Linked DNA regions of Rattus norvegicus. The protein of the gene in region 1 interacts with the protein of each later gene in a pairwise test. Links are inferred from orthologs where the notes say so. Each region holds a gene or a part of one and is shown in the gene's direction. Other genes may lie near its edges. The genes, in order: Cinp, Cluap1 and Atrip.

The links.
Region 2: the proteins of Cinp (region 1) and Cluap1 interact in binary tests that used the Homo sapiens proteins (3 or more experiments, as listed by UniProt). The two-hybrid records come from large-scale screens. The link is inferred for Rattus norvegicus from reciprocal best matches to the Homo sapiens genes CINP and CLUAP1.
Region 3: the proteins of Cinp (region 1) and Atrip interact in binary tests that used the Homo sapiens proteins (3 or more experiments, as listed by UniProt). The link is inferred for Rattus norvegicus from reciprocal best matches to the Homo sapiens genes CINP and ATRIP.

Annotation. Positions count from the first base shown.
Region 1 is NC_086024.1:135,717,745-135,721,899, reverse strand, and holds the start of Cinp (cyclin-dependent kinase 2-interacting protein), read left to right. Parts: upstream 1-1,210; 5' UTR 1,211-1,244; coding exon 1,245-1,251; intron 1,252-4,155. UniProt on the Homo sapiens protein: Component of the DNA replication complex, which interacts with two kinases, CDK2 and CDC7, thereby providing a functional and physical link between CDK2 and CDC7 during firing of the origins of replication.
Region 2 is NC_086028.1:12,107,776-12,111,427, reverse strand, and holds part of Cluap1 (clusterin-associated protein 1), read left to right. Parts: intron 1-475; coding exon 476-609; intron 610-2,159; coding exon 2,160-2,301; intron 2,302-3,652. UniProt on the Homo sapiens protein: Required for cilia biogenesis. Appears to function within the multiple intraflagellar transport complex B (IFT-B). Key regulator of hedgehog signaling.
Region 3 is NC_086026.1:118,586,293-118,588,712, reverse strand, and holds the end of Atrip (ATR-interacting protein), read left to right. Parts: intron 1-35; coding exon 36-172; intron 173-270; coding exon of another isoform or gene 271-299; exon of another isoform or gene 300-318; coding exon 319-410; coding exon of another isoform or gene 411-536; exon of another isoform or gene 537-551; coding exon of another isoform or gene 552-662; exon of another isoform or gene 663-815; coding exon 816-896; intron 897-1,007; coding exon 1,008-1,257; intron 1,258-1,649; coding exon 1,650-1,717; 3' UTR 1,718-1,804; downstream 1,805-2,420. UniProt on the Homo sapiens protein: Required for checkpoint signaling after DNA damage. Required for ATR expression, possibly by stabilizing the protein.

The DNA of each region.
Region 1 (4,155 bases):
CGCTCCCGGTGATAAGGAACTAGAGCAAATTTGAATTCCTGAGTTCACACCTAGGACCTGAGTTTCCCACAACTCCCTGCTCCAGAAAGTTTTTAAAACCTTGGCTGCAAATGATCATTCCAGTCAATGACAAATCAATACACCTTCCATGCTGCCAACAAATGGAACAGAAAATTACTGAATATCGGTGAGAAAGAAAGGAAGCACAAGGGGCAGGAAAGAGAAGTAAAGTTGAGAAGGAAAACAAAAGTAATGGGAAGCCAGAGACTTAAGGGACTAAACGAAAAACCAGCAAAGCCCACAGAGCCGGGTGGGTGACAGCAAGGACTAACCCTTATTGACCCTGGCTGTGCGTGCACTGACCCATTTAATCCTCCACTATCCCAAGATAAAAACTTATCATTTTACGGATGACGAAGCTGAAGCTAGAAGTTGACACTTGCTCCAGTAGACGAGTAGGAAGGGGAAGCACAGTGACCTGACCCCGAGTCTGACCCCAGGGTCACCCCATTCTTTAACCCTCACTGTCCACTCGGCCTCGGAGACCACACAGGGAGGCATTCGGTATCCATTTAACCAACACTTACTCAACTCCTACTGGGTGCCCAAGCCAGCTGCTTGGCGTTGGTGGGCGAATGTAAGGGATACAGCTGAGGATCCGGGAACAGAACAGAACGCAATGTCAATCTTAAGGCTGAGGAGCCTGGAGCCCGCCGCGAGAGGGATGCAGGGTGGGGCAGGAGGGGAGGAGCGAGGGGAGCTGGGGCGCCGTGGCGGCCCCGGGCGGTGTGCGAACGCTGCGGCGCCCGGTGCTCTGCACAGACGCGGGCTGACAGACGCGCCGCGTGCGGTGGCTGCCAGGGGGACGGCAACACGGCTGTGGAGACTCTGAGGGGCTGAGACAAGGAAAGGCGGCCCTGCCAGGGGGCGGAAAGGCGAGGGGCGGCGTCGGGACGTCGGAGGCGTCCAGCACCCACCAGCACGCTCCCGAACTCACCTCCCGCGGCAGCCCCTCAGGACTCCTCAGCCCCGCCAACCCGGAGGAGGCGGGATGGACTCCCGGCCGCAGGGGCTGCCGGGAGCCTGTTGCCTAGGCAACGGGTTAGGCCTCAGAGACGAGCCGTGACTCCGCCGGAGAGCTAGAGCGGCAGAGCTACAAGTGTCGGCGGGCCCGCGGAAGTGACATCACTTCCTTAGTCCGTGGGCGGGGCTTCTGGTCATCTCGGTATCTACCTGTGGACCGCATGGAAGGTGCGTGAGAGGGCTATGCTTCCCTGGCTGGGGAGGCTACAGGTCTTGTGGGGAAAGGTAACGAGCCCGTGTCGTGTCGTGTGGGGTGCGCCTGGATCTCGCGGGCTGCCGGGAGCCTTGTTCCTTCCGGTGTGTCAGTCATCTGAATGTGGTGAAGTGTCAGCGGTGTGAGGCTCAGAGCATCCCGGAGCACATTGGAGCCAAGCCTGACCTGCCAACCCCTCTGGAAACCCTTCCCCGAACTCCCGCAGTCAGTGAGACCGGCCGTGGAGCTTGCACTTTGTGATAAAGGCTGTCTCTGTGTCGATTAGTGTCGCATGGGTCAGTACGTTAGCCTATGGCTGTGGTCTCGTTGAGTCCCATTTAGTTTACAAGCTTAAAAACCTCTGCTGTGCCTCTCTCAGAGCTGGTCTGGGACTCACTGATATTTCCCTATTTGCCTCTGAGTGTCTAGAAGTCAGAACTGTGCTTTTGATTCCTAAGTGGGTCCAGCAAACTAAGTCAGATGTGCTCCTCACCCTTAAGAATCCCCCCCGAAGGACGAATGTAATACAGGAAGTAAGAGCAGTTCCTCCATGTAACGCGTTAGATTCAAAATCTACTATGTATGCAAGATATGGGAGGGGATGAGACATAACCCCTACTCTGGGTGAGCTCAGCCCTGCGGGGAATATAGACTCACTAGTGAATGTGATGACAGCTGACCAATAGGAGGTAACATGTCTACTGCAGTGACACGTAATGCAACTGGGGGATCCAGGAAGACTTCTTGAAGTAAATAACTGTTCAAGTTGCTTCCTGTTACTATGGTCAAAATACTGTCCCCAAAAAGCATCTTGGGAGGGAAAGATTTTATCTGTCTTACCCTTCCAGGTCATAATCCATCAGTGTGGGAAATCGGCAGGAACCATGAAGGAGGCTCCTTCCCTTCCACTACCTCCCGAGTTTGCTTTCTCCTACGATTTTCTTTTATGTGTATGAGTGTTAATGCCAGCATTTATGTAAACGTATCATGTGTGTTCAGTGTCCACAGAGGCCACAAGTGGACATGGTATCCGCTGGAGTAAGGATCACGGCTGGTTGTGAGCTTCTTTGTGGGTGCTGGGTCTTCTGAGCCAGCTCCAGCCCCTCAGATAGTTTCTTAGACAGCCCAGGACCACTTCCCCAAGGGTGGCACCACCACCGTGAGTCAGGCTCTTGAACGTCATTTAACACACAGACATCCCCACAGACAATTGTTAAATGGTGGCTCTCTTCCCTGGTATACCAAGCTGACAGCAAAAGTAACCAGGACAGAGACTTTCTTTCTTTGTTTCTTTTTTTTGCATTTAACTATTACAAATATATCTATTGCAAACTACAGATACGTTAACAGTTATATACAAACAGAATTTTATCTATAAATTCTCTGGTTGCATTGAAATTTTGGGGTCAGAAGAAACAAGTCTCGAAATATTCTAGTCTCCTAATGAAGGTGACGTTAAAATACAGAAAATGAAATCCAGAGCTGGAGATGTGGCAGCAGTCCCGAGCACTTGCTGCTCTTCTAGCGCAGTGGAGTTTGGTCCCCACACCCACACTGAGCGGCTCACAAACACCTACAACTCTAGCTCCAGGACGTCAGTCACCCTTCTGGCCTTGGCATCACTCCCACACATTCACACACACACACACAAACAACCCTTTAAAAATAAACTCTGCCCCATATGGAATATTCCACTAAAAACCCAGAGAATTTTTTTTTTCCTTAGAGGTTTTCTTTCTTTCGAGTGAGGCGATTTTAACATTCAAGATTGAAATGAAAATGACCAGAATTCTGTTATTACTCTCTAGCGTCCGAAGTTTTTAACAATTCCCTCTGTCCAAGTCACTGTCTCGGCCTTCCTATAGGAGGGTAGAACACAAAATATTTACACCATTTATTTATTTTAATTAGCTTACAAGGTAGGTTTCTTTATGGCACTTCGGGTGTCCCTCTTTGACCCTTCCCCCCCCATCTCCACCCTAGCTCCACTTAGATGTCTTCCCCCAGGACTCCCTTCCATTCTCAGGTTGCAGGGAACCAAGTGCGTTCACTCATTTGGTAGTGAGGTAGACCATGAGACAGGAGATCGAATCCCGGTGCCACTCCAGGTCACTGCCTGCTCTCTGCTGTGCTTGCAGTGGCCTGTGTGGCTCCAGCTCTGTGAGCCCTTGTTTGCCACTTACCTGTTCAGCTTTGTCCTGTTTCTTGTACTCACCAAGTTCATGGTCAAAGACAGTTTTAACTGAAGCCCAGAACTCACAGTGGTTGGCTGGCCTTGATCTCTTGGCTCTCTTGAACACTAGGATTAAAGCCTTTCCCGGACACCTGGGTTTCTGTTCCCTTTTTACATGGTGCTTAGGGTCTGGACTGGTTAAAGTAATTTACTTGTATACTTTTTGACTCTTTTGGGAGTGTAAGTGCCGTGGTCAAATTGCCGGTTCTCATTCACTCACTTCATCCCCCATGCCTGACATGTTGAAGGTAACCAACTGGTATCTGTTAGTTGTTTTAGTAAAGGATGAATGAAAAAGATCAAGCAGAGCTATTGGCTGGGTGTGGTTGCACAGCCTGCAACCCAAGCTACCTCAGAGGCTGAGGCAGGAAGAAAGTTCACAGTCTGTCTTGGCTGTAAAATAGGTCCCACCCGCCAGAGCAACTTTATGAGATCGTCCCACAGTATATGGATGGGCTGGGGATGTAGCCCAGTGGAGCATGCACAGGGACCTAGGCTCAATCCCCAATACCATCAAAGCAAACCAAAAAACAGAAGAGCCCTAAAGAATACTGTGTTAGCAGACACACACACACACACACACACACTCACGAACAGTCAGCGTGGCCCATGCTGGAATAGCAGAGCAGCACTGAGGCAGAGAGTG
Region 2 (3,652 bases), on another chromosome or scaffold:
TATATGTGTCTATGTTTGTATCTGTGACTATGTGTAACTACGTATCTGTGTGTGTGTGTGTGTGTGTGTGTCCCCACTCCCTGGGTTGGTATTTTGTAACCAGGGAATGGCCCAAGTGAAGGTTAATAGCTCAAAGTGATGGACCAGGGCCCAGTCCTAACCCAGCGGGCTGGACACAGACCCTATGACCTCTGTCTGTCCGAGACATTGTTCTCTCCACTTTTGCCTGCTTCCATGGACAGAAACACGCACTTTTCATGACAAGAATGGTACTCGTTCCTGTCCTCATGCCCTCCTTCCACTCCTGTCACTGAAAATACTTGGTTAATAAGTTACAGTGGGGGAGGGTTTGTTGGTTGCCCTCGTGCGTGGTTTGTGTGATGCTGCTTTACACAAAGTGTTAAGCAGCTCTGTGCTCAGAGGCAGGCGACAGCCGTCCCTGGCACCTCAGCTCACTGTTCCCTGCTCACTGTAGGCACAGGTTCAGAAGACTAAAGACCTGCTCAACAATGTGGCGTCTGACGAAGCCAATTTAGAAGCCAAAATTGAAAAGAGAAAATTGGAGCTGGAAAGAAATCGGAAGCGATTGCAGACCCTGCAGAGTGTCAGGTAGAGTGACTAGAAAGTTAAGACATCAAAAAGCAGAGTCCACATGCCACAGTTTCTTTGCTGCCTGTCCTAAAGCAGACCGCTGCGCGCTCTCACTCCATACTGCTTTTAATGTCTTCAACGTGGCTGGACACACACCATAAGGGCAAGTTCTCCAGCACTGCCTTGCCTGGTTCACCCAGTGCCACAGCTGGCAAGGGGCAGAGCCAGCTCTCCTGCCCTTGGGACGGCTCACCTGAACCGGCGTCACCAGGGCCAGCTCTACTGTGCAGGACCCACCCTCCCAAGTACAATTTAATTTTTATTAAAAATATACATTCCTGGTTGGATGTAATGATATACACTTTTAATACCAGTACTCGGAAGACAGAGGTAGACAGATCTTTGTGAGTTCAAGGCCAGCTTGGCCTACATAGTGAGTTCCAGACTAAGTCAGGGCTACATAGTAAAACTCTGTCTCAAAAAAATACACATACACACTCATTCCTATCTGTACCTATATCTAGGGACTTAGCATGATGGCACACATATGAAACCCAGCACTCAGGAGGCTGATCAGGAATTCACCAAGGACAGTCTAGGCTACATTAGACCCTACTAAAAACCTGGGAAGATGCAGGTTACATCCAATGCATGTAGTTGGTAATGTATACATAATTTTTTACTTTATTCTCCTGTTTTCAGGGGGTTTTTTTTCTAGCTTTTTATATTGGTTAAAGATATTTTTTTTAAAAAAAGATAATTATGTTCACTTTTTGCCCCATCTACTGCGAGAATGAAGACCATTCTCAGCAGTCAGACTGTTGATGTCACCCTGAAGGGGCGCACAGCCATTGTGAAAGGTCCCAGGGGAACTCTGCGGAGGGACTTCAATCACGTCAATGTAGAGCTGAGTCTCCTTGGAAAGAAGAAGCTCTGGGTTGACAAATGGTGGGGTAACAGGAAGGAACTGGCCACTGTCAGAACCATGTGCAGTCATGTTCAGAACATGATCAAGGGTGTAATGCTGGGTGTCCATTACAAGATGAGGTCTGTGGATGCTCCCTTCCCATGAATGTCGTTATTCAGGAGAGCGGGTCTGTGGTTGAAATCTGAAATTCCTTGGATGAGAAATACATTCACAGGATTCAGATGAGGACAGGTATTGCCTGTTCTGTCTCTCAAGCCCAGAAGGATGAACTAATCCTTGAAGAAAAGGATTGGCTCTGATTCAGCAAGCCACAACAGTTAGAAACAGTATCAGGAAGTTTTGGGATGGCATCCGTGTGTCTGGGAAGGGAACTGTGCAGCAGGCTGATGAGTGAGACCTCAGTTTCCCAGCTCCAGAAACAAGATCCTGATCACAAGTGGGATCTGGGCTCTTTGGCGACAATAAAAGACTTATATATTTAAAAAAAAAAAAACCTGTTCATTTGATGGGTAGAGAGGGGTAAATATGAATTGTTTTTAAGCAGTTTTCAGGTACATGATGCAAGTTGGGAGTCTTAAATACAAATTTCAAACTACTGTGGAGTGACTGCTTTCACTCTTCTTTCCTTTGCTCATCTTAGGCCAGCCTTTATGGATGAGTATGAGAAGGTTGAGGAAGAGCTGCAAAAGCAGTATGACGTCTACCTGGAGAAGTTCCGGAACCTGGCTTACCTGGAGCAGCAGCTTGAGGACCATCACAGGATGGAGCAGGAACGGTTTGAAGTAAGTGCTTGGGCTGCTCACCCGTGCCAAGGTGACAGGAGAGCCGCTGTGTGCTCAGCATGTGCATGGGCTGCGGGGACCTGAGCTGCGGGGCTCACCTTGAGCAGCAAGCACTCGATGTCTGAGGCACCTCCCCAGATCCTCAGTGTGGTCTGGGCAGTAATCAGGGCTGTTTCCTGTGTATTTTAGGGGATGAGAGGGCCAGTGTCTGTGTCACCCAGACCAGCCTCTAGCTTCAGCCTCCACGTGCAGGGACTATAAGATATATACTGCCATACCCAGCTTAGTCAGGGCTCCGTTTGCCAACACACCTGACATACTACCTCCTCCTGTCCTACACCAGGAAGTGTGACCAGGATTTCCTCATTATCTTACCATCCTGGCTTCTCTGTAAGCATCTCCAGTATGAGTGGTGAAGCCATATGGCAGAAACATGGACATACTTTTGCTTTTTTTGGTTGTGAGCAGGAGAGCTGTGGCTTTCTGCACCAGACACATTTCCTGTGTCCACTGTCCTCGCAGCACACACGGTGGCTTCTCTTGTGTCCCTCATTTCCTTTAGAGTGGTGGAAATGGGAGGAAGGCACGGAGCCAGAGCATCAAATGTCAGGGTCACTCCCACAGGCTGCTTGGTAGACAGCAGAGGAAGAGCACAGGTTTAGGGACCTCATAGGTTGCTCAAACAAACTCTTTTGATTTTTTTTTTTTTTAGATTCAATTGATAAGATATAATTGCCCATCTAAACATACAAAGCCCAGTACCATCCATCCCTTAAGAACATTGATAACCTGTAAATACACAGAGCGGAATCTTTACATCAGCCTCCATTGTCCTGCCACAGCTTCTCGGCCTCCCTCCTCCTCCCTTCCTCTCTCTTCGTTCCAGTCTCCTCCTTCAAACTCTTCTCCCGCCCATCCTTCCTTCTCATCCAATGACAGGCCTCCTTCTATCTTATGCCTGCCTCACCTGTGACATCATCTCACATTTCACCCCTTTTGTCTAATTAAAAAAAAAAAACACAACTTTTCTCTCAAATATAAGCTGAGCACAACTATTATCATTTTGTAATTAAGAGCATAAAATATATCTAACACCCAATCCATCACTATATCAGTTAAACAGAACATTTAGTTATCCGTTCCAGCTTAAGAAAGGCTTAAAATCTATATTATATCTTGGCTAGCTATACTATCTGATAACTATCTAATAAAATATGAATATTCAGAGTTAAACAGCCTGATAGGCTATGAGACTATAATCAGTCTTCAACCCTGTCAGAAATCTGGGAATGACCAAATATCTATACACATAGGAAGCCTAACACGGCTTCCGGAACTGAGAGGTTGTAGA
Region 3 (2,420 bases), on another chromosome or scaffold:
TTTTGGAGAGTGTCATAACTGTGACCATTCTCTAGGTTCTCCTTCGTGTTCCCGATGTTGCCACAGTGCCTCTGCTCAGAGCTGCCACTGTCGTGTGTGCTGCTGGCTGTCGAGCTGCTCTCTGTTCTGGTGGACCAGGACAGCCTAGCACAGCAGCTGTGCTCCCACTCAGGTAAAGCAGGGCAGGGCGGCTCTCAACTGTCCTGCAGTGAGAGGGAAGGACTGGGGCAGGTTCAGAGCCCCTCAAGGGCTTCTGTACTTGTACCCCAGGCTACAATGAAAAGGGGGACCCTGAGTGAGGTCTGGAATCCTTTTCAGAAGGCTGCCTTCTCCTGAGGCTGTACATGTACATTACATCAAGGCCTGACAAAACGGCCTCAGAGACACAGTGGCTTCAGCTGGAACAAGAGGTAAGACTCTCAGACTCTGCTCACCCTTCACCCTTCAGGAGCCCAGGGCCTCCTCTCCACTTGTGGGAAAATAGGAGCTACAATTCATTTTGGTCAGTGTGTCAAACAGCAGAGGGTAACATTTAGGGGTTCCTCACACAGATGCAATACAAGTGCATCCTGGGTTGCAGTGGTGCTCAGCAGAGTTGCCTGATCATGCTGCCTGGGGCTTGGGGCCTGATCCTGGTCCTGGAAGCAGTGAGCTGTTGGTGAGATTCAGGTCTGAGAGCCTGAGGCTACCACTACTTGTACCCCACCTGTGCAGGCAAGCAGTTGTTGAAGTAGCTAGAGCACCTTAGGAATGCCCGCAGAAGCCTATGATAACTGGGTTCCACACAGGGTGAACACCATGTCTTCTTGTTCCAGGTAGTGTGGCTCTTGGCCAAGCTGAGTGTGCAGAGCCCTTCCCCCGCTGGCATTGTTTCTGACTGTCAGTGCAATGTAGAGGTGAGTGGCCGGAGGCTAACATCATGGCGGCTCAGTTGGTGAAGGGCAGTCCTGCTTCCCTTGAAGTGTCGAGGTGAGCAAGACCTCAGTCTGTGCCCTCTCTTCCCCTAGGCAGTCAGAGCACTCACTGTGATGTTGCACAGGCAATGGCTGACTGTGCGGCGGGCAGGGGGTCCAAGGACCCACCAGCAGAAGCAGACGGTCCGCTGTCTGCGGGACACTGTGCTGCTGCTGCACAGCCTATCTCAGAAGGACAAGCTCTTTACTGTGCACTGTGTCGAGGTCCTGCATCAGTACGACCAGGTGATGCCAGGGGTCAGCATGCTGATTCGAGCCCTTCCTGATGTGACTGACTGTGAAGGTAAGCTATCAAGAGACTGTCACAGCCTTCATATGCCTCTGCCTGAGGCTGATGAAAAAGTCAGACTCCTTTGCTGGTCTCCTTTCCTTCCCTGAGTCTGCCCTTGCCACCAGAGCCATTCCTGGCACTGCAGACATGGCCTTCCTGCTCTAGGTCTGAGTATGATAGGTTCCCATTTGATTATGTCTATTGAATCGGCCTAGCTGAGCCATGGTTTTTCCACAAAGATCTGTCCCGATTGCTTTTGTATCACTTTTGCTCACAGTAGCTGAGGGAGCAAAGCCTACACATGGAAGGGACTGGTTAGTTCCTGTGCCTCTAGGGAGGATGGGTAGGCCTCCAGGCCCCAGCACCATCAAGTTAATCTCAGAACCCTCTTCCTTTTGGCTCAGAGGCTGCCCTGGATGACCTCTGTGCTGCAGAGACAGATTTGGAAGACGCCGAGATGGACTGTAGCTGAGGGCCTGAGCATCCAGCCACAAGGTGGCACTAGCCCCACCGTCTTTGCCACATCCACTGATTAAAACTGCACTTCCTGCTGAGAACCGGCTTTGTTTCCTGAGTCTTGATTTGTGGGGCTGAGAGGGAGGGACAGAGCAGACTAGGAACTGCTGGATTAGGTGACTCTCCTGCTGGAGTTGAGATGGTCCTGATCAGCCCTGAGGAAAAACCCTGCCCCTCTTCCGGAATTACCCTGAGTCATAGCTTTGGGCCAGGTCCATGGGAGAACAAACTTGTGTAGCTGACAGGAAGGCCTGGATCAAGGCCTGGGGGAAAGGAAAGGAAAGGAAAGGCAGAGACTCACGGGCTTGTTTGAATCCTAGAGACAACCTAGGGAGTTGTCATTGTGGGAGCAGCAGTGATAGTCTACTTTGTTAGCCGGCAGGATCACAGATATGGATCTAGGAAGGCCTTTGGGGTGCTTGGGGAGGGAGGGAGGAGCTTTAGCACGAGGGCCAGGCCTGGCCGGCTAGCTAGCAGGGCGGGCCCTGTTCAGAAGGCAGGCCTCTGGGTGGACCCAGGCAGTTTTACTTCCTGAGCCAGTGCTGCCAGCCACAGAATCAGCGGAGTGCCTTGTTGCCTGCTTATCGGTAAGTGTGGGGGGCCTCTAGGGTATGGGGTAAGGCAGAAGAGGACAGGTTTCCCTCACCCTGAAGGTGGTC